3 linked regions of the Arabidopsis thaliana genome follow. The protein of the gene in region 3 interacts with the protein of the main gene of each other region in a pairwise test. Each region holds a gene or a part of one and is shown on either strand. Other genes may lie near its edges.

The links. The genes of interacting proteins can lie anywhere in the genome.
Region 1: the proteins of MPK3 (region 3) and IAA18 interact in binary tests that used the Arabidopsis thaliana proteins (3 or more experiments, as listed by UniProt).
Region 2: the proteins of MPK3 (region 3) and DSPTP1 interact in binary tests that used the Arabidopsis thaliana proteins (3 or more experiments, as listed by UniProt).

What each region holds. Positions count from the first base shown.
Region 1 is NC_003070.9:19,301,607-19,309,494, forward strand, and holds IAA18 (indole-3-acetic acid inducible 18), read left to right. Parts: upstream 1-3,474; 5' UTR 3,475-4,063; coding exon 4,064-4,335; intron 4,336-4,611; coding exon 4,612-4,907; intron 4,908-4,990; coding exon 4,991-5,123; intron 5,124-5,326; coding exon 5,327-5,394; intron 5,395-5,489; coding exon 5,490-5,524; 3' UTR 5,525-5,912; downstream 5,913-7,888. UniProt on the Arabidopsis thaliana protein: Aux/IAA proteins are short-lived transcriptional factors that function as repressors of early auxin response genes at low auxin concentrations.
Region 2 is NC_003074.8:8,474,581-8,481,817, reverse strand, and holds DSPTP1 (dual specificity protein phosphatase 1), read right to left. Parts: upstream 3,697-7,237; 5' UTR 3,539-3,696; coding exon 3,537-3,538; intron 3,302-3,536; coding exon 3,136-3,301; intron 3,036-3,135; coding exon 2,900-3,035; intron 2,797-2,899; coding exon 2,676-2,796; coding exon of another isoform or gene 2,645-2,675; exon of another isoform or gene 2,565-2,644; coding exon 2,419-2,564; coding exon of another isoform or gene 2,375-2,418; exon of another isoform or gene 2,326-2,374; coding exon of another isoform or gene 2,297-2,325; exon of another isoform or gene 2,283-2,296; coding exon 2,167-2,282; 3' UTR 1,977-2,166; downstream 1-1,976. Other genes in the region: AT3G23620 (Ribosomal RNA processing Brix domain protein), read right to left, coding at 1-61, 155-220, 303-545, 659-904, 1,211-1,414, 1,603-1,671; AT3G23605 (Ubiquitin-like superfamily protein), read right to left, coding at 4,685-5,143; AT3G23600 (alpha/beta-Hydrolases superfamily protein), read right to left, coding at 6,163-6,303, 6,378-6,478, 6,739-6,828, 6,923-7,013, 7,172-7,237. UniProt on the Arabidopsis thaliana protein: Has a dual specificity toward Ser/Thr and Tyr-containing proteins. Dephosphorylates MPK4 in vitro.
Region 3 is NC_003074.8:16,753,485-16,761,053, forward strand, and holds MPK3 (mitogen-activated protein kinase 3), read left to right. Parts: upstream 1-3,086; 5' UTR 3,087-3,108; coding exon of another isoform or gene 3,109-3,300; 5' UTR 3,301-3,433; coding exon 3,434-3,591; intron 3,592-3,674; coding exon 3,675-3,804; intron 3,805-3,892; coding exon 3,893-4,030; intron 4,031-4,131; coding exon 4,132-4,464; intron 4,465-4,556; coding exon 4,557-4,740; intron 4,741-4,822; coding exon 4,823-4,992; 3' UTR 4,993-5,390; downstream 5,391-7,569. Other genes in the region: AT3G45645 (uncharacterized protein), read right to left, coding at 3,109-3,300; NAXT1 (nitrate excretion transporter1), read left to right, coding at 5,769-5,868, 5,969-6,186, 6,270-6,787, 6,864-7,569. UniProt on the Arabidopsis thaliana protein: Involved in oxidative stress-mediated signaling cascade (such as ozone). Involved in the innate immune MAP kinase signaling cascade (MEKK1, MKK4/MKK5 and MPK3/MPK6) downstream of bacterial flagellin receptor FLS2.

The DNA of each region.
Region 1 (7,888 bases), on a different chromosome or scaffold from region 3:
TGAAAATATATACTTCATCTGTTCCAAAAAGAACGGTATTTTGAGTTTTACACACAAATTTATTTTTTATTTTTTTTTAATTATTATTTTGCTAGTTTAATAATATTAATTTTACTTCTTTTCTTTCTCTATTGGTCACAAACAAAAATAATAATGATATTTTGTACAAAACTAAAAAAAAAAAAAAAAATTTGGGACAACAAGTGGAACAAGTAAAAAACTTAAACCATCAAATAATTAGGAAGAGAGAGAGTAGTTTATTAAAGAATTGACTACATTTTATAGAGTATGGTATTTCATTCAATATCTTGAGTATCATGGTCCATGGATCGATCGAGAGATAAAAGTTTGATGCAACCGTTTTCTCTCATTAATTTAGTTGTTAAATTGTTTGTTAAACAAGTTTTGAAAATGATTTTGAAAAGAATAATGACTTTGTTCGAGAGATATCAACAAATTTAAGAATGTACAGTATTTGGCTTATTTGAGGATTCAAATACTAATATCCAAGACAATTACAAATTACAGTTTTTGGATATTACCAAGATCATTGGATCACTAATTTGTTTCTAGATGCTATTAGTATTACACTATTACTATTACTACATCAAATAGTAAATGCAATTTATTTGCATCTCACTGGTAAAATCATAAAAGCATGATGAAAGTTTCAACAAAAAGAAGCAATGCATTCAAAAAGCGACGCCAGTGAAATAGTGTATGAAGCTTCCACAAAAACACTCAACACAAAAACAATTATCACGTTGGAATTTAGAAACGAATCTTTGCACTATGAAAAATGCATACAAATAATTGACACATACATGTAGATACGCTTTTATCATGAGATTAGACTTGACAACACAACATTATCGAAATTGAGTGATACAAATAGTAAGTGCAGGAAAATAATTCGATAATCTTATTAGGTGGAGCCTTATCAAATACGACCCATGAAGATTGAAGAGTATCATTTATGATTTTACCACAACTATTGCTTTTTCCTCAGATTTGACATTAATTTCACGATTTGTTTTATTCCTTTTCACTTTCTTTTTTGGAGTCAGCTATCTTATTAATTGGTGTACGGTGATAATCATAGCCGTTGGTTGTGGTTTGTTTTGAGTTTCAACGGTTGGGATTGAAAGCTTATCAGGAGATCTAAAATCTGAAACTGTACAACTTTTGTCTACCGTCCAGATAGAGAGAAAAGTACTGTCAAAGTCAGAGAGAGATTCGGTCTCTAGTCTCTGTTTTACTCATCTATATTGCCACGTGTCTTCCATAAACAAAAAAGAAGATCATCAAAACGCGCGATCTACCAAACACTGTGTACACGTTTAATTACACAGTAATTACTAATCACAATAGGTGTTTCTTGTTAGACGGTTTAATAACTATAATTACATAGGGTTTAATTTAACACATGAATGATTTAAAATGGAGAAATTAAGGAACCGTGATTAAGGTTGTCTGTCAGTCTTTGTCTGCAGCATTGTAGCCGATGAAGGAAGAAATTTGGGAGTTTGGTAATATGGAGACAAGAAATGACCTCTGATAATCCCATTTTTATATTATAAAATTCCCAAAATACCCATCTTTACTTGACCAAAAACTCACAACGAGTTTGGTAATACGGAGACAAGATTTGACCTCTGATAATCTTGTTTGAAAATTCCCATATTACCCTTCCTTCCTTGACCAAAACTCTTACCCGACTCTTGGTTGGTTCGGCTTTTCCGTCATATCGGTCTCACACGTGGAAGAACCATGTCCGATGGTTCATTATTTTCAAAAGCTTACTCTTTTTTTTTTGGTGTGGCAAAAGCTTACTCTTTTAAATAAGATTGAGTTTTTTTTTTTGGTAACATACGCTTCTTGTGATTAAGTTCATTTAAAGCAACACAATAATTCTTGTGTTTTTTATTTGCATGTAAAGGTAGACACAAAACTCGAATCTAAAATCAATAATTTTATTTGTTTAGTGACTGATTTGAAAAAAACGCAGAATAAACTAACCTGATTAAAAAAAAAGAGAGTTTATATTGGAGCTTACTGAATTCTATCGATCTAAAGTATAAGATGACAAAAAATTCCTCGTATCATTTGGGTTTAAATATATGATGGGATGGTAAATGGTAATTAAAGCCAATAGTAATAATTTATAAAATAATAACGACAAAACGAAATAAAGGAAGAAAATTTGCAAGAATAACTAACAAAAACTTATAAATTAAGAAAGTAACACAAAACAAAAAAACAGATATACTCTCTATATTATATATAATAATGGTATATTTACCCATTTTTCTCCACCTCATTCTAAGTCCCTCCTTCTCTCTTCACCTCTCATCTCTTTTTCTTTCTTCTCTCAATCTTTTTTTTTTTTCTTTTTTTGTATCACATAACAAACAAACGAGAAGGACAAAATAGATTTTTCAGATACCACTTATGTTATCTGGTTGCTTGAGTTGCCAAGGTTGTATCTTAGGGTATAGTTTTTCTATACATCCAAAATAGTATAGTACAACATTTTATTTCTATCCAAAATAGTACATGTTTTTACTTACAAACACTATTTACTATTTTATAAATTCAAATCCGATTTTAAAAATTCAAACTATTTTGTATGTAGAAAAAATATAGGTTTTTTCTAATAAATTTTATAATTGGAATTTATTTTTTGGAAAAGATATATAACAAAAAAAAAACAAATAGGTGAAAAACTAAACTAAATGTTACTAAATCATTTTACCTCCAATTCAACACTAAAATTGTCTTTTCCTTATCCTTACATGCTATTTTCTTAATTTTTATATATATGGTACTATATTTTTAATTTGTTTGTCAAATATGGTTATTCAGCTAAATCACCCAATAGAGACTCAATAGAGACTGAGAGAGAGAAAAAGAAGGGTTTCTCGTAAAATCTCCAAATTCATTTGAACTTTCCCAAACATTGGAATATGTGTAAGTCCCATAGGAGTAGGACAGAGTCGATAGGGGTGTGATCCTAACATACCAGAGAAAGATCGTCGAATCCTCCATTTCTTTTTATGGCAACCATATTTTAATTATATACTACTATTTATTAATTTAATTGGGTGTGATTTTTACTTCGCGTAATATAAATATGCTTTTTCTACATTTTCCCAATAATTTTGTAAAAGTGTAAAGTCTCTACAAAAACATTGTTTAGTCCTCCTTTTTTGGTCTAAATATTTGTTTAGTCCTATATCCATATTTTGTGACACTACTAGTATTATAAAAACATAACAAATTCTCAAGTTACACTTCTCGTTTTGTTTGGGTCAACCACACAACACCACAAGTTTTACTTGTACAAAGTAATTGTTTGTTTATGTTTTTCTGTTGTATGTATTTTTTTTAATTGGTCAAAAGAAAATATGTTTTAAATAAAAAGGTGAAAAAAGGCCTATGGGATTGGAATAATAAGATAGAAAACAAAATAGCATGCTTTGCTTCCTCCACTAAACTTCCTTTAAGGGCAGAGAGAGAGATAAAAAGATTGATTGCGTGTGTTTCACACCAATAAATCCCTTTATTTTTATTTTTTGGTCTCCAAATTTACTAACTTCTAATAATTTCCAATTTTACCCCTTATTTTTCTTCCTTTGGTTTTAACCTATTCACTGCATTTCCTTGGTATAAAATCCAACTTCTTCTCCTTCAAGAATCTAGAGATAGAGAGAGAGAGAGAACACAAAGTGGGAAAAAAGATAAGAACCCACCATAAAGTTTTAACATTTTTCCCTTCAAAAGGCGAAAGCTTTTGATTTGTATAAAAGTCCCACTTAATCACCTCTCTAGCTTCTCATTCCATTTCCATCTCCTCTCTTTTGTTTTCTAAGTTGCTTCAAGAGTTTTGGATAGTGTAGCAGAGAGATTTTAACTAATGGGTTTATAAAATTTTGTTCTTTTGCGTGAACAAGTTGTCAACTTCTAGACAGATTTTCTTTTTGAAGTGTTTTCTTGTCGAAATTCTTCTTCTTTTGGTCAAAGAACGCAAGATTCTTCTGTAGTTCCTCTAAAAAAAATCCTAATGGAGGGTTATTCAAGAAACGGTGAAATCTCTCCGAAGCTGCTTGACTTGATGATTCCACAAGAGAGAAGAAATTGGTTTCACGATGAGAAAAACTCTGTTTTCAAAACAGAGGAGAAGAAGCTTGAGCTAAAGCTTGGACCACCTGGTGAAGAAGATGATGATGAATCGATGATAAGACACATGAAGAAAGAACCAAAAGACAAATCTATCCTCTCTCTCGCTGGCAAATACTTCTCTCCTTCTTCCACCAAAACCACATCCCATAAAAGGTTTTAAACTTCTCATCTCTTACTTTTTGTTTTTCTCTGTTTTGTATCCTTCTCACATGATGATATTCACTTGTTATTAGCCAATAAGGTCCCATCTATCTGCATAAACTTTGTTCTTGTCTGCTTAAGATTGGATCTCAAAACTTTTCATCTTTTTACCCTTTTCCCATCTGAAAGTTTCAGTCTTTTTACTGCCCTAGTTTTCCTCTGTTTTTAACCTTGAGATTGTTCTTGTCTTACTAACAAGTTTTGTTTTGATGCCTTTGTGTTTTAAAGAACTGCTCCTGGTCCAGTGGTGGGATGGCCTCCGGTTCGATCCTTCAGGAAGAATTTAGCTAGTGGAAGTTCTTCAAAGCTTGGAAATGACTCAACCACCTCCAATGGTGTTACCCTCAAGAACCAAAAGTGTGATGCTGCTGCTAAGACAACAGAACCAAAGAGACAAGGAGGCATGTTTGTGAAGATCAACATGTATGGTGTTCCCATTGGTCGTAAAGTTGATCTCAGTGCTCATAATAGCTATGAGCAGTTATCTTTCACAGTTGACAAGCTCTTCAGAGGTCTTCTTGCAGGTAAATTTGAAACCTTTGTCTCTCTATTGATTATGGTTAAAAAAGGGTTGAATTTTGAACTCTAATTGTTCTTATTTTATCAGCTCAAAGAGACTTTCCATCATCCATAGAAGATGAAAAACCAATCACTGGATTATTAGATGGGAATGGAGAATATACTCTTACATATGAAGACAATGAAGGAGACAAGATGCTTGTAGGAGATGTTCCATGGCAGTAAGAATCTTTTCTTTTCTTTTTCGTTTTTTTCTGAATCTGAGTCAGCTTTTTGTTCTATCTAAAGGAGAAGTATTAGATTCCTAGTCACATATTTATTATATCTTAATCACAGTTTGATTAATAACAAACTTAGTTTGGTTAAGCTATTAAAGATTGTGGACTTTTTGATCACTAAAATTGATTATTTCTTAAATTGTCAGAATGTTTGTGTCTTCGGTGAAGAGGCTGCGTGTGATTAAAACTTCTGAGATTTCTTCAGCATTAACATGTAAGTGTAGGATTTTAATAACATTTTTTAGTTGTTTTGGTGACTCTTTTAAGTGAAGTTCTTAGAATGTTTTTTTGTTGTTTTGAAATTTGCAGATGGAAATGGTAAGCAAGAGAAAATGAGAAGATGAAGAAAAAGATCTTTTACAGCTTTTAAAGAAGTAGAGAGATGTTATTAATTGCATTTTGCCTTTAAACTTTGATGAGTTTTTGGTCTTGGAAAAGTTTCTGATATAAGTCTGATGTACATTCTGGTTTGTTACATCTTCTTTTGGCTTTTGAGATATCATAGAGTTTTGTTGGAACTCAAAGACCAAACAGTGCAATGATGATTTTGGGGTCTTGAGTAAATTTACAAACCCTTTTAGGCATATTATAATAGTCTTCTGTTTTTAAGTTTTGGTAATGATTATTCACACTTGATCAACACTTTTAAGTAATGTAACTCTCCCTATGTCAGCAAAGCATCCTTTTCGAAAAACGGAGAAAAGAAACAATCTTTTTCTCTGCCAAAAAGCTCTTTAGCTTTTATTAAATCTATACTTAGGGTATCCGCTATTGTAATGAACTATGAGAGTGAAAGGTTTTAAAACATTGAACAACTTTTCTTTAAATGAGCTGTTAGGACAGATATTCAAACCATTGTCTAACCACATCTTTCATCTTTGTCTGGACTCTTGGGCAACAAAATTACAGACATCATTAGATTATCATCTTCTGATTATTGATCTACATATTTGATAATACTTGATATGATATAGTTTCTATGTATAATCATCTCTAAATTTATGTTTCTAGTTTAGCTTTTGTGTTTCGTAGAATAGATATATAAAATAAAGGGTTGTTCATAAGCATATGTATTCATACGATCAAATCGTTTAAAAGGAAAAAAGGAAGAAAAAATTGGTGGGTATGGAATATTGATAAAGAGAGTACAAAATAGAAAAATTGAAGAGAAGTCTTTTTCGTTGAGAGTCTTGCCTAACTATTCGAAGCAGCAATATGAGACCTTATAGTTACTTTTTTCCTTTTGCCTTCGAAAATGTTCATTCTATATTCTTTTGAAGTCTACAGTGATATTGATGGCCAATTGTGTTGTCCTCTCAACATTTTAGGACCACTCTATCTAGTCCAAAAAATTAATATTCTGGTTTTAAGTTCAAGTAATAAGCGACGTTTACTCTTGTACTGTAGTAACTTGTTTGGATCAAATAAATTTATCATTGAGTTAACGATAGAATAAAACCGAATTCTAAAGAAAATAAACTTGTATTTGCTAGCGGAAATTTCTAAATTTAAGGAAAAGAAACCTGATGCGGAAGAAACTTCGAATTCTAAAGGAAAAATGTCCAATGGCAAAGCCCAAGTTAAAGAAAAGGAGACTTAATAGTTAATACTAATTAAAGGTCATTGTTTGCTGTAGAAAAGCCTTAATCAGAATGGGTAAAAGAATTGATGTTGTCGAGAAACACTAGTCCACAGGGATATGAGATATGGAGTTGTTAGAAACTTCGAATTCTAAGGTATGCTTTTGTAGTGACATGCCATTCTAAATTCGAATGAAACTAGAGTTTCACATCGGTCTATAAAAGGAGAGATCGGGGAGAAGATAAGTCATATCCAACATCAATACCTAAGGAAACCGACGTTTAGTAGCGCTACCACTTTGTATTTACAAGACAGTTCAGATTCTTGTTTGAAATCAAGTTCCAAGTAACTAACTTAATGTGAAACTGTTCGTTTTCAATAAGTTAACTTTACTGAATGTAATGGTTGAATGATAAATAAATAGATAAATAAATATTCCAAATAAGAAAATATATTTCAATAAGCATTTTAACATTTAAAAGATATTTATCTTAATGTTGAAGATTTTTTCTGAAAGATATAAAATTAATTTTCTTTAATTATTGAGTTTACTTTGGTAAAAAATAATTTGATTTCATTTTATGTTCACAAACTTAAAATATTGTGTTATAAACAGAAATTTTGTATTTGGAAAAAATCGAGTAGTATAGTGAACAAATCTTTAAGAGATGAATTTTCACAAGTTTGGTCACATACATAATAAAGTTGGTGTGTGTGTATGTGTTAGTATTGAAAATGTGTAATCCATTTAATTGAGTCATTGCCATTATTGGAGATACTTTGGTCAAATGTCTATACTGGTAATAATACCAAAAAATTCAAATAAAAACGTTCAATTACCCCATTTTAACCGATCAATCAGTGCATTGATTATGTTTTAGCTATTAAGAAGGAAAAAATCTTCTCTTAATCAGCGTTCTTAATTAAATCGAGTTATAGAGTGAAATGTGACATTCTTTATTCGGTGACTCTTAACACATTAAGGCACTATTTGTTTTCTTATTTCTGTGAGAAACAAATTTTGTAGGAGGCAGAGAAACCACTTTTGTCATTTGCAGGCGAGTGCTACTTTTAATTTATTTATTTAATCGTTTTTTAAGTGTAATTAACATTTCTGTTTTACTCTT
Region 2 (7,237 bases), 8.3 Mb from region 3:
TAGCGTCTTTCCGCTCTCTCTTCGATCCCTTAGATTTATCGAACAGTTTCATTTCTTTCAGCTGCACAAAGATCGAAAACATATCAGTTTGGGATGATAATAAAAATAATAATCTCCAGATTCGGATATTGGCGTTTATCGCTTTCTTTCTTACCTTCTGATCAGGCATATAAATCTTCCCAGTCTTCCCTAGTACTGCATCTTGATCAACGTTTTTCTCCTGTAGAAGAAGAGATTGATTGATTAGTCATCTGTCTCTTTCGATTTTAAGAGAAATATTAGACTTTTATGTTGTTTAGTACCTTCTTCTTAGGCTTATCCTTGGATGTTCTCATTGCTTCTTTCATTAAGCTATCGTTAGGAAGACGATTACGCCTGATAACCAAGTCCATGGATGGACCGACTTCAACAAGCTCCATTCTCGGAACAATGGATCCTGACTTTTTAAGCTTCAATGCGCAATGAGTAAGGAAAACCTTTGTTGGGGATATAGCTGAACATACGTAAGCGCGGTCTAAACCAGTAAGATTTAGATTATCCACAACCTGCAGACATATACAAATTCTGTTATAAGCCAAATCCATATAGAATCAGAATAAAATTGAAACTGGTTATGGAATTAGCTGCAAAAGTAGGTCATAAGAATCAAACACTTCACCTCGCCACGAAAAAGATCAGTGAGGACTTCTTTGAGATGCTTAAGCTCTGATACATTCTCAAAACCTTCACCAATAAAGCAAATGAAAGGCTTTGTTCCTTCATGAGGTGCGAATTTCTTGTCATACGAAAACGCCCGCAAGGATTTAAAGTTCTCAATCCCAACTTCTATAAGATCATAGACTTGGTGATCATACATTCTCCCAAGTACAAGATTGTCAGGTCGTTTCTTCGTGTGAGAACCATACTGCAATATAAAAACAATCACCAATGTTAGAACTCGCATCAAAGTTAATTTGCCAATACACCTTTCCAAATGACTTCTTAAGGCCTGTGATAACATCAGCCAATCATACCAATTTCCACCATAAATAAATACACATAGACTAACAAGACAGAAGCAGAGATGCCTTAGAATGAATCTAGATCACAGGATAGATCATCTTAATAACATTTTGTTCTATCTAGCAGTTCATAGCTAAGTTAAGAGGAGAATCAAAGTTGCAACACCATAAAACCAAGATGCAACAGCTGCCAAAGCTTATGAACTTACCACAAAAATGCTACAATCTGTTTTCTGAGAGAAGAACTCTAATGAAGTTTCACCTCCACTCTCGAAAGGCCTAATATTCTCATTCCTCCTTGAATATCTGATGGCACCTCCCTTCTTCAAACGGTAGAGTTCCGTCATTACAGAGCTAAGTGTAGCACTCGTCTTTGTTCCATGAAGTATCAACGTCTTCTTCCCAGTTTCAACCTACAAATTCCAAAAACAACCAATTCAGATACAAAGTTTGCAACTTTCAATCGATTCTTTGATAAATTTATCGACAAATAGAAAACCCATGAGTCTCATAGATGTCAAAACAACATTGAAGACAGCTCTCAACATGATTCACTTCTCGGTTTTAAGAAGGACGAAGGAGAAAAAGAAGAGAACTTTACCAACTTAGGAGCTCGGCTTTCGAGAACACGCTTGGCTTTGCCAGTCTTCGGAGTTCGTATTTCCATCATGACTCTGTTAAATCGCCGGAAAGTTTCACAAGCGACGGCTCCGAAAGAAGAGAGAAAGGTTTTTCGATTGATTGATATGGAGTCTAGGGTTTTAGTGCCTCCTCACAATTGGAAGCAACTTTAAGAGAATTCTAATATGACCCCTAACCTTATAAGTCTGTCCTAAATCACCCCACAGTTTTTTATTGACTATAAAACCCAATGTTTCACAAGGTCCATGAACTGTTTAAACTATACGGGCTCAAATTAAACAATGACAGCCCATGAACTTTTACACACAAAAAAGACATTTCATTGCGGTACAAAAAATTTACAAATTTTTATTTATGTTCACTTTTATATCCATGATGATGAAACTATACAAAACGAATAGAGAACATGAACATATTCCAAATTCGTTTCCATGTTATTATTCGAGTTGTTAAGGAGAAGAAACAACAAAACATTTTGATTGATGCTTCGTGTGAGATTTACAAGTTTCTCCCAATGGTACGATCAATGATCTTCACGCCTGACATTGTGCAATCGTAACTTGCTTCCCTGTTTTATAGAGAAGAAGGAAGATGCATGTAAGAGATATTTACATGGAACTGTCTTCTCCTCCACAACCACTTGCTTTTCATCCTCAAAAGGAAAAAAACTGGTCACTCACTACTGAATCAGACAGACAAAGTATCTCCAACTTAGATTCACCACAGAGATCTCAACCTAATAGTCTAGACCTCAAGATATTATAGTAAGGCATACCTTGCATAGACTTCTCGAGGTCTTGTAATTGTCTGATGAAACCAGCATTAGGACTTGCCACGGGTCTTTTGCTTTTAACATGTTGCAATGCTTGAGCTAAAGTCATACCGTGTTTCTTCATGAGGTAAGCAACAACTATAGTGACACTGCAAGTAAAAGGGACAAACCATCCAGGCTAAATATGTACTTAGTTTTGAATACTATCCAGCAAACAAGGCGAAAACCGCTAGATATTGAAGGAAGCAAACAAAACTGACCTCCGTGATTTGCCAACAAAGCAATGAACAAGAACACTACCGCCTTGTCTCTTGGCTTCATCAATGAAATCAACACACTCATCGAAGTACATTTCTAGATTTGTATCTTCCTTATCCACGACTATCACATAGAAAAACAATCAAACAAGCAATTCCATCCCAAAATCAAAAACATATTCTCTCTTCAACTAGATAACAAAGTGAAACCTTTAATAAGTTTATACCTCGAACAACCTTGTAAACAAAGTCATCAGGATGAGCTGGTCTCAACGAACTAGCAACAGTCAAAATATGTGTAACATTGTAAGATTTCAAAACATTCTTATTACTAGCTGCTGCAACAGATCCAAGATAAAGACCCTGAAAAAGTCAAATTCAACAAAAGGTTTGATCTTTGATAATGAATCATTGGTCATTTGGTTGGTAGAAAAAACCTATGAGTATTAGTAGTAGTAGTAACCTGTTCAATAAGGGAAGGGACATTGTCGTCTCTATAGGTACGAGCAACTTTAATAACACGAACAAGAGCTTGTATCTGATTCTTCACCTTTTCATTATACTTTTCTATTCCTGGTAACGAAGAAGATGACGAAGAAGAAGAAGGTGATCCTCTGTCTCTAGAACTCCTGATTTCATCGAATCAGAAAAAAGAAGAAGAGAGTTTACATATCAAGATCGTGATCATAGCAGCAAGAATCAAAATCAAAATCAAAATCCAGGTCACCGAAATAATGGAATCCGATTCTGATGAATGATCTTATAACCGAACAACGGTGAATCGAGAATTACGATTACAACGACGGAGTAGTGATTGGTTTAAGATCAAAAGAAGAATTCGATTATCAAGGAAGAAGAACTTACATTGGAAAAGAAGGAATACGAATTCGCCAAAGGAGAAAGAGATTTACAAAAAAAAAAAAACGAATCTTTGAAATGGGTTAAAGAGGAAATTGCAACTGCATGGTTCTCCAGGTTTTTTGGGGGAAGGAGGAGGAGGAGAGGGAAGGATGTGTTCAAAGAGGGCCAAATAGTAAAATTTCCTTTCTATCAGAAAAATCAGAAATGTTTTAACTTATTAGCTCAGTCCTTATATTATACTCAAAAATTTGTGTTTGGGATTTGTGCTTTGTAGGCTTGGTTTCCTGCTATTAGGCCCCCTGGATTAGTAAGAAGTAGTGTACTTGGCTGAAACTGAGGCAACGGTGTTGTGAATATGTCAGCAAAACTGTACAGAGGCAGAGATGTATCGAGTGATGATGATGTTGTTGTTAAAGACTGTTTGTTATTATGACGTAGTAGTAATCTACTTTAATGTTTTTTTCGAGGGCAGTAGAGCACAAATCTACTTCAATATAGTCCATCGAAGTTCGATATTTTACTTCGATAGACTATCTAATCAAAGCCGGTCTCGACGAGTTTCTCGGTTTCCATTTTGGTACGGTCTTTCCCATTCCTAGAAATTGTGCATGAACATGAAGTACTTCCTTGCTCACTTGATGCTGTCTTAGGCTTGTTTAGAAATAGGACCCTAATTGCTTTAAGAAATCTGACTAAAAAGTAATGGACAATGTACAAATGTACCCTCAGCACACCCTCTAAGCCCGGTCCTGGCACATATCGACGAGTTTGTCGGTTTCATTTTGGTATGGTTTGGTTTACCCACTCCTTGCTCACTTGTCTTAGGCTTGTTTAGAATTTGGGCTTATGGGCTTGGTTTGCTACGTCACCGTATACGTAACTTCGTCACCTCAAAAACTATGCGAGAAAGAGTGACTTAAGAAGCAACAAAAAGATAAACCAAAAACTATACGTTCTTCTTGTATGATGATGACGACATTGACTTTGAAACAGTGTTATCTAAAAACGATTTGATCGGAAATATCTAACAACGATTCAAGAAAACCAAATGAAATTTGCAATTTCCAAGTACAAATTCGAGAAATTGAGTAAACATAAACTTGGTAGAAGAAAGAAATTATTTTTCTAATTACAGATCGAAAGAAGATTCTTCAGAGCCAAGTAACAGAAACCAAGGAATTAGCAAGCCCAGATTGTTCAAAAGTAGTATTAGATCCAAAATAAAGATTCTTATAATCCCCAGGAAACCCTTGAATCAATTTAAAACGCCGCTTTCTCTCAGAAGATTCATCACCAATCTGCGAATAACAAAACGACCAAAGAAGCTGAACAGATTCACTCTTTAAGAAACTTCTCTGTATTCTTCTCCCATCTGGTAATCGAACGCAGATTCTGCACAAAACGCTTTGATCCATATCGCGATTCGGTTCTTCTGGTAAGTTAGGGAATCCGAATACCGCGTTTGATGAATTCGTCGTATTCTCGGTTTCTTCTGATTCTTCTTCAGAGAAGCGTTTCGGGCGTTTGATTCTTCGCAGAGACTCGATTTCCAGAGAGGCGACGTCTACGAACGGTGATAATTTCTCCATCATTGATTGACACTCGAGCATCGTTTTGATCGATGATTACGGAGAGATTTAGGTAAATTTCAAAACCCTAATTGTTTCATAGTTAGAGTGGATTTTTGTGGAATTTGTGAGCTTCTCGTTTATTTATAGAGACGAGACGATAGAGAGGAGCTATAAAGGTTTGTTTCCTTTTCCTTGAAAATAGAAAAATAGATTTATTAGTATTATTGTTTTTGTGTTAGTAGAATTGATTTTTGGAGATATTCTGCGGATTTTTTTTTGTTTCTATTTTCCTTTTTTTTTTTTGTGTAATTACAGATTTTGTTTTTGATAATTGTAAGTTTGTAATACAAATTTAATTATGAGAAATCTACATTGATTATGAATTGAGATTTTATTTGATTTCTCTAAAGAACCTAGTGACTTTCTTGAGCAATATCTTCTTGTTTTGGCAAGTTTTTTTTTTCTGTCCACATTTTTGCACGATTTTTAAGCAACAATATAAATAATATATGGATCAATTTCTTATACAATAAATTTATCGTATAATTTTGTCAATTACTAGTTTTCTTTTTTTTAGGTTTTTGTGTGTGGACAAACTCTCTTAAATCATTTTCATGTAATGATTTTGACTCTTATAAATTACTCTCATTTGACCCAAAAAAAAAAAAATTACTCAAGGTCTCAAGTCTCAACAATCAATAATTTTGCGTTTTGACTATCAAATTCATCAAGAAGAAGAAGAATTGATTATTTCTGTATATATGTACAATATCTTTTTTACTTCTTTAGTCGAAGAAGACATTGATTTCAATCAAAGTTTGTTTTGGTAACTTTTTTTGCTTACCACAAGAAGATGATGAGAAGGGTAACGTATCGTCAACATATAAAAATCATAAAACAATGATTAACAAAAGGTATCACAGAATCTCAGAGAATGCTTCAAAAGACTATAGAAAGTAGAAATTGAAACACCAACCAAGAGTTTTGCTTTGTCTCTCTTTAATTTTTATTCTTTGCATATATGAAGTAATAGACAATACCTTTCTTTCTTTCTCAAATCATTTGATGTAGGTCACAAACCAATCAAGCATCTCCTTGTGAGCTTCTTCTGCTGCTTTAACCGCCTCTGGTTCATCGATGTTGTATCTAACTGTCCATCCGTGTGACACTTTCGGGTGTATCTTCACGTAACTATTCACCTACAGGATCCGTTTTAAAGTTAGATAAAGGTGATTAAATTACACTGTTGAGTTGCGGTGATAAAGCAGCTTACCTCGGGTTTGGAAGATAGAATCTCCTCAAATTGCTTCAAGAGTGCTGGTGGGGACATTTGATCAATTTCAGCTCCTAATATAGCAATTGGAGCCTTCCCACCTGCAATAAACCCGTGAAATTGATAAGGATCATCAAAGACCGGTGAAAGTAAAGAAACCGGACCAATCACAGTGTTTTTTATGTTTGCAAATGTGAATTAGTATTCTTTACAGTAATAATGATAGTATCTAATCATGGCGAGATCAGTTACGCAATCCTATAGGTGACTCTAAATGTTACAACGCATTAGGCAAGGCATGACAACTAATGTTCCTTGGTTCTATGTGAGGAATCAAGATGGAAGTAGCAAAGTCACTAACCTTTGATATCATCAACATTGACAAAAGAAGGATGAAGCAACACAGCTGCTTGAATAAGCTCTTCTTTAGACAGTTCCACCACTACTTTTGCTGAAGATGAATAACACAAGAGAGAAAAGTACTATCCATTAGACAAAAAGAGAGCGTCACATCTCTTAGGCATAGATTTCTAACAAAAACTCACCACCCCAACACATCCCTGCGGCTCCAATGGCAGTTATGCCTTTGTTCTTTATGGTTTCAAGTACTGGTTTCGTGTTTTCAAAGCCCTTATCCTGAAAAACAAAAGAGGATATGAACTGATTCAGATGGAATCTATCAAAATAACAGAACAATAACACATACATTGAGTCAAACTTGTTAACAAAACTTCAAATAGAAGTTGAGAATGTATAGGACAGTTATTATAAGGAGGAGAGGAGGAGGAACGAACACAGCCATGGTCTTTGATCCAGACAGGGATGGGTCTGTCCTGGTTAGAGGGATTATAAGGATCTCC
Region 3 (7,569 bases):
AAAGTCCATAATGAATCCGTGCATGGGACGCGACGGTTCAATAAGAGACGCGTCAACGAAACAGTACAATCGAAAAAAAAACATATCGACGACAATCCAAAATCTCCATGAGATTTCTACATACAATCGGAATCAGTAAACACGTTGATCTCAATAACTACTCCGGAACTAAAATCGAAACACCAGAATTAGGGTTTTGAGATTCGGCGATTCAAATCCCAACATGAAAGAGTCAATTACGAGAGAAGTGAAAACATACGGCTGAGTAGAGAGATTCGATCGGAGATTGTGGAAGATGAAGAAGATTGAGAGAAGTGGGAGATTGCAAGAGACAACAAGTGAGAGAGATTGGATGGCTGAGATTTTGGCCGCTTCTAGATCCACGATTGCCTAATAAGAAGAATTAACTATGCCCTTAGATTATTAGTTTATTACGGATCTGCCACTATCTCCGGTTCGATTATTTTTGGTTGGCGTCGGTTAAAGACTGATTTAATTTGGTGGTGGTTTTATTTCAACCCAATGATTATATTTTAATTTTTGTTCTTCTACATATCCGATATTTTCAGAAATCATGTGGAAATAAATCTAAAAATTTAGAAATTTAGTTACAAGTTTTATAAAACTAATCGTCTAATACAATGAAATTTCATCAAAATAATTATTTTTCTATAAATTATGATGATCTAAGTACCGGATTAAGAACAAATTACAAATAAGAATACTGTACACAACAAAACTCAAACATGTGACTTCAGAAAATATTTTACTCGTAAATTAAAACATAAACATACACGAATACTATCCTTCATATATATCTTTGTATCTAAGAGTAACTCAATGTTCAAAATAAAATACAGCTAAAAAAAGTAATAAGCAAAAGAATATGGGATAAACTATTTTAAGCTGAAAAAGTAACAAAGTGATAGAACACACTCATGCATCATTAGTTTATGTAACAAAGAAGAACTCATTTTAAGTTGTTGCAATGGAGACTTGCTTCAAAACCTTTGAACAGTCCACAAGTTTCAAGCTTTTAAACGTTCTACAGATGAACAATGGAATAAACGACTAGGCCATTCTTTTCAAAAGAGTGTTCATAAGGGAAATATCATCCACATGCATTTGGAAGCTCTTTATAAGCTTTCGATTTTGCCCGTACCTAATGATTTTCGTTTGTCCATCTAGGAAGTACTCGATTTAAAGTTTAGAACTAATTTAAACAATCATTGTTTTGATAAGGTTAAGTATTTGAAATCACTTTTAGATGACTTTGGAATAGTTTTAGAAGGTTATAATCCAGTGAAGTTTAACGATGCATCGTTATTCCTTAACATAAATAGAACTCTAACTTAAATAAATTTCATAACAAAATCAATATTTTTAACGATAATGTTGGAACATAAATTATATAGCGCATACGATTATTTAGAGGAATTTGTAAACTAAATATTAATATCTTGTTCGAACTCGAAAATAGCTTACTTTTTTTTCTTCATAAGTGTTGGCTTTGATATATAACAACAAAGTGTTACAATAGTGGAAAACTCCACTTACAGAATTCGATAGGCTAATGAGCATTACGATATTAAATTATCAAACACATATAGATAATCTCCTTTAATTTTCATCTACTCAGAATTGAACATTTTCATAATCTGCAAGTTCTGCTTTATCTTGTCTGCTTTCATTGGAAATGAAATGGTATATGTTGGTCGGTAAAAGACGAATCAAATTTGTAAACTAACAATGAACTATTGAAAGAGTAAATCTTACAGAAATCTCAAAAGAAAATAAGATACTAAAAAGGGAGAAACTGAATCTCTCACTTAATCCCCATTCGGGGAACCTTTACACTTAACACGCGATCTGATGGAGCCATGAGTGCAATCCAATCAATCCAAAACTTCTGCAAGGCCCTCTTACACAGATATCCTAACGAAAAGTAACCACAAAGATCCGCTTCTCAACTCCAAAACCAATTTGCGCAAATAGAGATTTTGCCTATTTTGCTATCTCTTTCTTCTTAAAACAAAGCCTTCTTAAAACAAAAGTCCAACAACAAAAGTCAAACCGAGCCCAATATAGTAACCCATCGAGGAAGGGATAAGAAAGCCATACAACACAGAGACATGTGTCGCCTCATGAGGAAATCACAGACACGTGACGAGAAGAACGTGTTTGTCGAGAATGCCAACCACTGCCGGCATGTTTTCTGAGATCGAAGAACGCCTACCCACCGAAAGTTCGTTCACTCCGCAAAACCAGAAGCTTCAAGTAGAGCACTGAAGACCCTCTAAAGAAATTGCACATCTAGTCTTCCTCTTCCAAACGAAATTAAACTCAGATTTAACAAACGAACGAAACTTTCTTTCATATGAAGGAAAGCGTCCACCATTCCAAAGTAGCATGAAGCATCACAATGACGTAAGCAACCAAAAAGATTTTCCGGTGAGACTTAACGTCGCCATGCCCATCAAGTGAAACTACTACAAAATTTGAACGACAAGGCTTATGAAGCCGAAACTCTTAAACTTCCACTTTTTCTTCGTAATGAAGAAACTTAATAAGTTTATTAGAAATAAAGACAAATAAAGGCAAAATACCAAAGAACGGCGACGATAAAACCGGATTTACCGGTAACTATAACTAGAACTCACCGTACGGTATTGAAACAAAAAGTTGGACCATGTCCGAACACAACCTCACAAACATACGGGAAGGCATACGAAACAAAGAATTTTTTCTTTTTCTCAAAATTTTAGAGAAAGAAGAGAATAAAAAAATTCTGATCGAAAATAGCTTACTTAAAAATCATAATTGAATAGTATCTTTTGTTTTTAAACTAATTTAGTCTATATAATAATAATATTATTAACCATCGTAAACCACACATGATATTCAATACTTATAATAAATTAATCGCATAAAATACAATACTTAAAACGAGTGTTATATAATTTTACGTAACGTAAAACAATACAAAATTTTAATTCCTGAACGAATAAAACGAGTATATTAATTAATTTATTGATCGTATTAAAACGAATATGATCCAATTAAGATTACAATTACTAAAATCCCCACACTATTATTGTCATTATTTAACTATGGCAGATAGATAGATACAGAACCGTAAAGGACGTTAGGAAGAGGAAGAACGTTGACGAAGTCAACAACGAACAGAAACCGTCGATTTGAGGCGGCTCTAATCTCAACCACACGATCTTCTCTGCCTTTCCCTCTTCTCTCTTCTTCTTCTTCTTCATCTTCTTCCTCGCAATTACCGCGAAAACTCATCTCTGCTCAATCCTCAATCTCAGTCTCTCTGTTGACTCCGACTGTTATATAAAACCATACAAATACCTTCAGATTCACTACTTCAAACCTCAAAGCAACCACTGAATCTCGACTTTGATCAATTGAGAGAGAAATGAACACCGGCGGTGGCCAATACACGGATTTTCCGGCGGTGGAAACTCACGGAGGACAGTTCATAAGTTACGATATCTTCGGTAGTTTATTCGAGATCACATCTAAGTATCGTCCTCCGATTATACCAATTGGTCGTGGAGCTTATGGAATCGTTTGGTATGTTTCCTTCTCTGAGCTTTTTCTTAAGTTTTATTCTTTGAGATCGGAGTTTTTAATTTCTGGATTTTGATTTTGTGAAGCTCTGTGTTGGATACGGAGACGAACGAGCTAGTAGCGATGAAGAAGATAGCTAATGCTTTTGATAATCATATGGATGCTAAGCGTACGCTTCGTGAGATCAAGCTTCTTCGTCATCTTGATCATGAAAACGTTAGTGTTTTTGTTCGATTTTGTGAAATATCTGTAGAAATTAGTAAATAAATCATGATTAGGGTTTTTTGATTTGGTATTGCAACAGATTATAGCTATAAGAGATGTTGTTCCACCACCACTAAGAAGACAGTTCAGTGATGTTTATATCTCTACTGAATTAATGGATACTGATCTTCATCAAATCATCAGATCTAACCAGAGTTTATCAGAAGAACACTGTCAGGTAAACTAAAAACTGTTCTTGGCTTTTTTCTGGGATTTATATTTGATAGAAGAGACATGAAACTGATACTTGATTTGGTGTTTTTGTTGTCATGGAAACAGTACTTCTTGTACCAGCTACTTCGAGGACTGAAGTATATCCACTCAGCTAACATTATTCATAGGGATTTAAAGCCGAGCAATCTTCTGTTGAACGCGAATTGCGATTTAAAGATTTGTGATTTCGGTCTTGCTAGACCTACTTCAGAGAATGATTTTATGACTGAGTATGTTGTTACGAGATGGTATAGAGCACCTGAGCTTCTGTTGAACTCTTCAGATTACACAGCTGCTATTGATGTTTGGTCTGTTGGTTGTATCTTTATGGAGCTTATGAATAGAAAGCCTTTGTTCCCTGGTAAAGACCATGTTCATCAAATGCGCTTATTGACAGAGGTAAAATATTTTAGAGAGTTATGTAATTTTAGCATGGTTTAAAGATTCTGCCTTTTCACGGAATATGTGATGAATTTGTTTGAATCTTGCAGTTGCTTGGCACACCGACAGAATCTGATCTCGGTTTTACTCACAATGAGGATGCGAAAAGATACATCCGGCAACTTCCCAACTTCCCACGTCAGCCCTTAGCTAAACTTTTCTCTCATGTTAACCCAATGGCCATTGATCTTGTTGACAGAATGTTGACGTTTGACCCCAACAGAAGAATCACTGGTAAGTTTCATACATGTTCTCTGTTGGTTTTTCTTACCATCACTATGTTTTGATTAAAAACTGAAAATACCATCTTGTGCAGTTGAACAAGCTCTGAATCACCAGTACCTTGCTAAATTGCACGACCCGAATGATGAGCCAATCTGTCAAAAGCCATTCTCTTTTGAGTTCGAACAACAGCCTCTGGATGAGGAACAGATAAAAGAGATGATCTACCAAGAAGCCATAGCACTCAATCCAACATACGGTTAGAAGTGCAGCAGCCCCGTGAATGCCTGGTATTACCCAATAACCATCCGAATGGCTACTTAGTATCTTTGCCTGTTCTTTTATTCATGTACTTCTTCCACATATGTAATCTTGTAACTTTTATTTGTTTGTTCATGTTATTTACTGCTAGTGATTAAGTGTAGCTCCAATGTAAAGTACTCCAGTTATTAAAGAATATCTATAGACTTTTTTACTTCACATACTCTTGAGTCTTCCCTAGTAAACAAAGAGAAGAGAGAATATAATTTTGTAATGTACAGAGCCTCAATATTTGTGGGAGACATTATAGAGCTAGAGCCAGAGTCAATGCTGTCGCCGTGAGTTGTCTATTCTCATTCAATGACTTTCAATAGATTTTAGTGGGATTGGCTTTAGGTAGCTTGCATTATTGAAGTAGAAATGGTCAATTCCTTAGCAATAATTAGGCACAAATGTGTCTTTCTTTAGTAATATTGTAATATCCTTTGTCTGACAATTTAGAGTTGACTTCTAAAACGTTGGGTTGGAAATAATGTTGTCTTCACACAGGCTGTTACGAAGCAGACAGTGATGGCTCAACTTGCATCAACGGAAACCTTTGAGTTTTTGTTTTACTTTCTTAATGTTTCTTTATTTGAAGCTGCTGCGCATGGAGAATAAAATATCGTGGACCCGAGAAAGTCATCATTGCTGTATTATTACTTATACTGTATATATGTTTCAGAATTTCAGGCCATTGTTGACAAAAATAGTGAAAGATTTCTGCTTGATTTTGAGACATGGCTAGTTCAGTTACTGGCGATGCAGAAACAGCGATATCAGCAGATTCAAGCACCAAACGCCGTGGTGGAGGTTGGATTACCTTTCCGTTTATGATAGGTGAGAGATTCTGTTTCTCTGTTTTTATATTTCTCATAACTTCATAACCATTAGAGCTTGGAAGAAGAAGTTGAATTTATCTTATCTTTCTATGGTGCAGCTACGTTGTTAGGCTTGACAATAGCTGCGTGGGGTTGGTTACTTAACTTGATCGTCTACCTGATCGAGGAATTCAACGTGAAGAGCATTGCAGCGGCTCAGATTGCTAATATTGTTAGTGGTTGTATCTGTATGGTTCCAGCTGTTGCAGCCATTGCATCTGACTCTTTCTTTGGAACCATTCCTGTTATCTCAGTTTCAGCTTTCATTTCTCTTATGGTAAAGTTAATAAAGAGTCCTTGACATTTGTTTTTATCAGTTTCTCTCTGAAACAGAAATTCACTAATTCTACTCTTGACCAGGGTGTAGCTCTACTGACTCTAACTGCTTCACTTGACACTTTAAGACCTAGACCCTGCGAAACAGCTTCAATACTATGCCAGTCTCCTTCGAAAACCCAGCTCGGAGTCCTTTACACGGCCATAACTCTAGCCTCTATAGGAACAGGTGGGACACGGTTCACATTAGCAACTGCTGGTGCGAACCAGTATGAAAAAACTAAAGACCAAGGAAGCTTTTTCAACTGGTTTTTCTTCACAACATATCTAGCCGGAGCTATAAGTGCAACCGCCATTGTCTACACCGAAGACAATATCAGCTGGACCCTTGGGTTTGGTCTGTCTGTAGCCGCTAATTTCTTCAGTTTTTTGGTTTTCGTCTCGGGGAAAAGATTCTACAAGCATGACAAGCCTTTGGGAAGTCCCTTCACAAGTCTACTATGCGTCATTTTCGCAGCATTACGCAAAAGAAAAGCTGTGGTTTCCACCAACGAAAAAGACTACCACAATGAATCAATCACAATGCCCACAAAGAGTTTCAGGTAGAAAAACCGGCTCGAAAACCGCAGTTTCATTCTTGCACTGAGAGGCCGTTCTAATGAGTTTTCAAATACGCAGGTTCTTTAACCGTGCAGCATTGAAACAGGAAGACGAGGTAAAACCAGATGGCACAATTCGCAATCCATGGAGACTATGCAGCGTTCAACAAGTGGAAGATTTCAAAGCAGTCATAAGAATCATCCCTCTCGCCTTAGCCACAATATTCTTGAGCACTCCAATCGCAATGCAACTAAGCTTAACAGTTCTTCAAGGTCTGGTGATGGACCGGAGGCTTGGTCCTAGCTTCAAAATCCCTGCAGGCTCTCTCCAAGTCATAACACTTCTCTCCACTTGCCTATTTATCATAGTCAACGATAGGGTTCTCTATCCATTTTACCAAAAGTTAACGGGAAAGCACCTCACACCGCTCCAACGAGTTGGGATAGGCCATGCGTTCAACATTCTAAGCATGGCTGTGACTGCCATAGTTGAAGCAAAGCGATTAAAGATAGTACAGAAGGGTCATTTTCTCGGATCATCATCTGTTGCTGACATGTCAGTCTTATGGCTCTTCCCTCCTCTAGTCATAGTAGGAATCGGTAAGGATTTGATTCCGGATAATAATTCATTCTACGAGTTCAGATCAATCCGACCATGTTCTTGTTTTTTGGTTGCAGGAGAGGCCTTCCATTTCCCAGGGAATGTAGCTCTGTGCTATCAAGAGTTTCCAGAGTCTATGAGAAGCACCGCAACATCGATAACCTCGGTGGTGATTGGGATATGT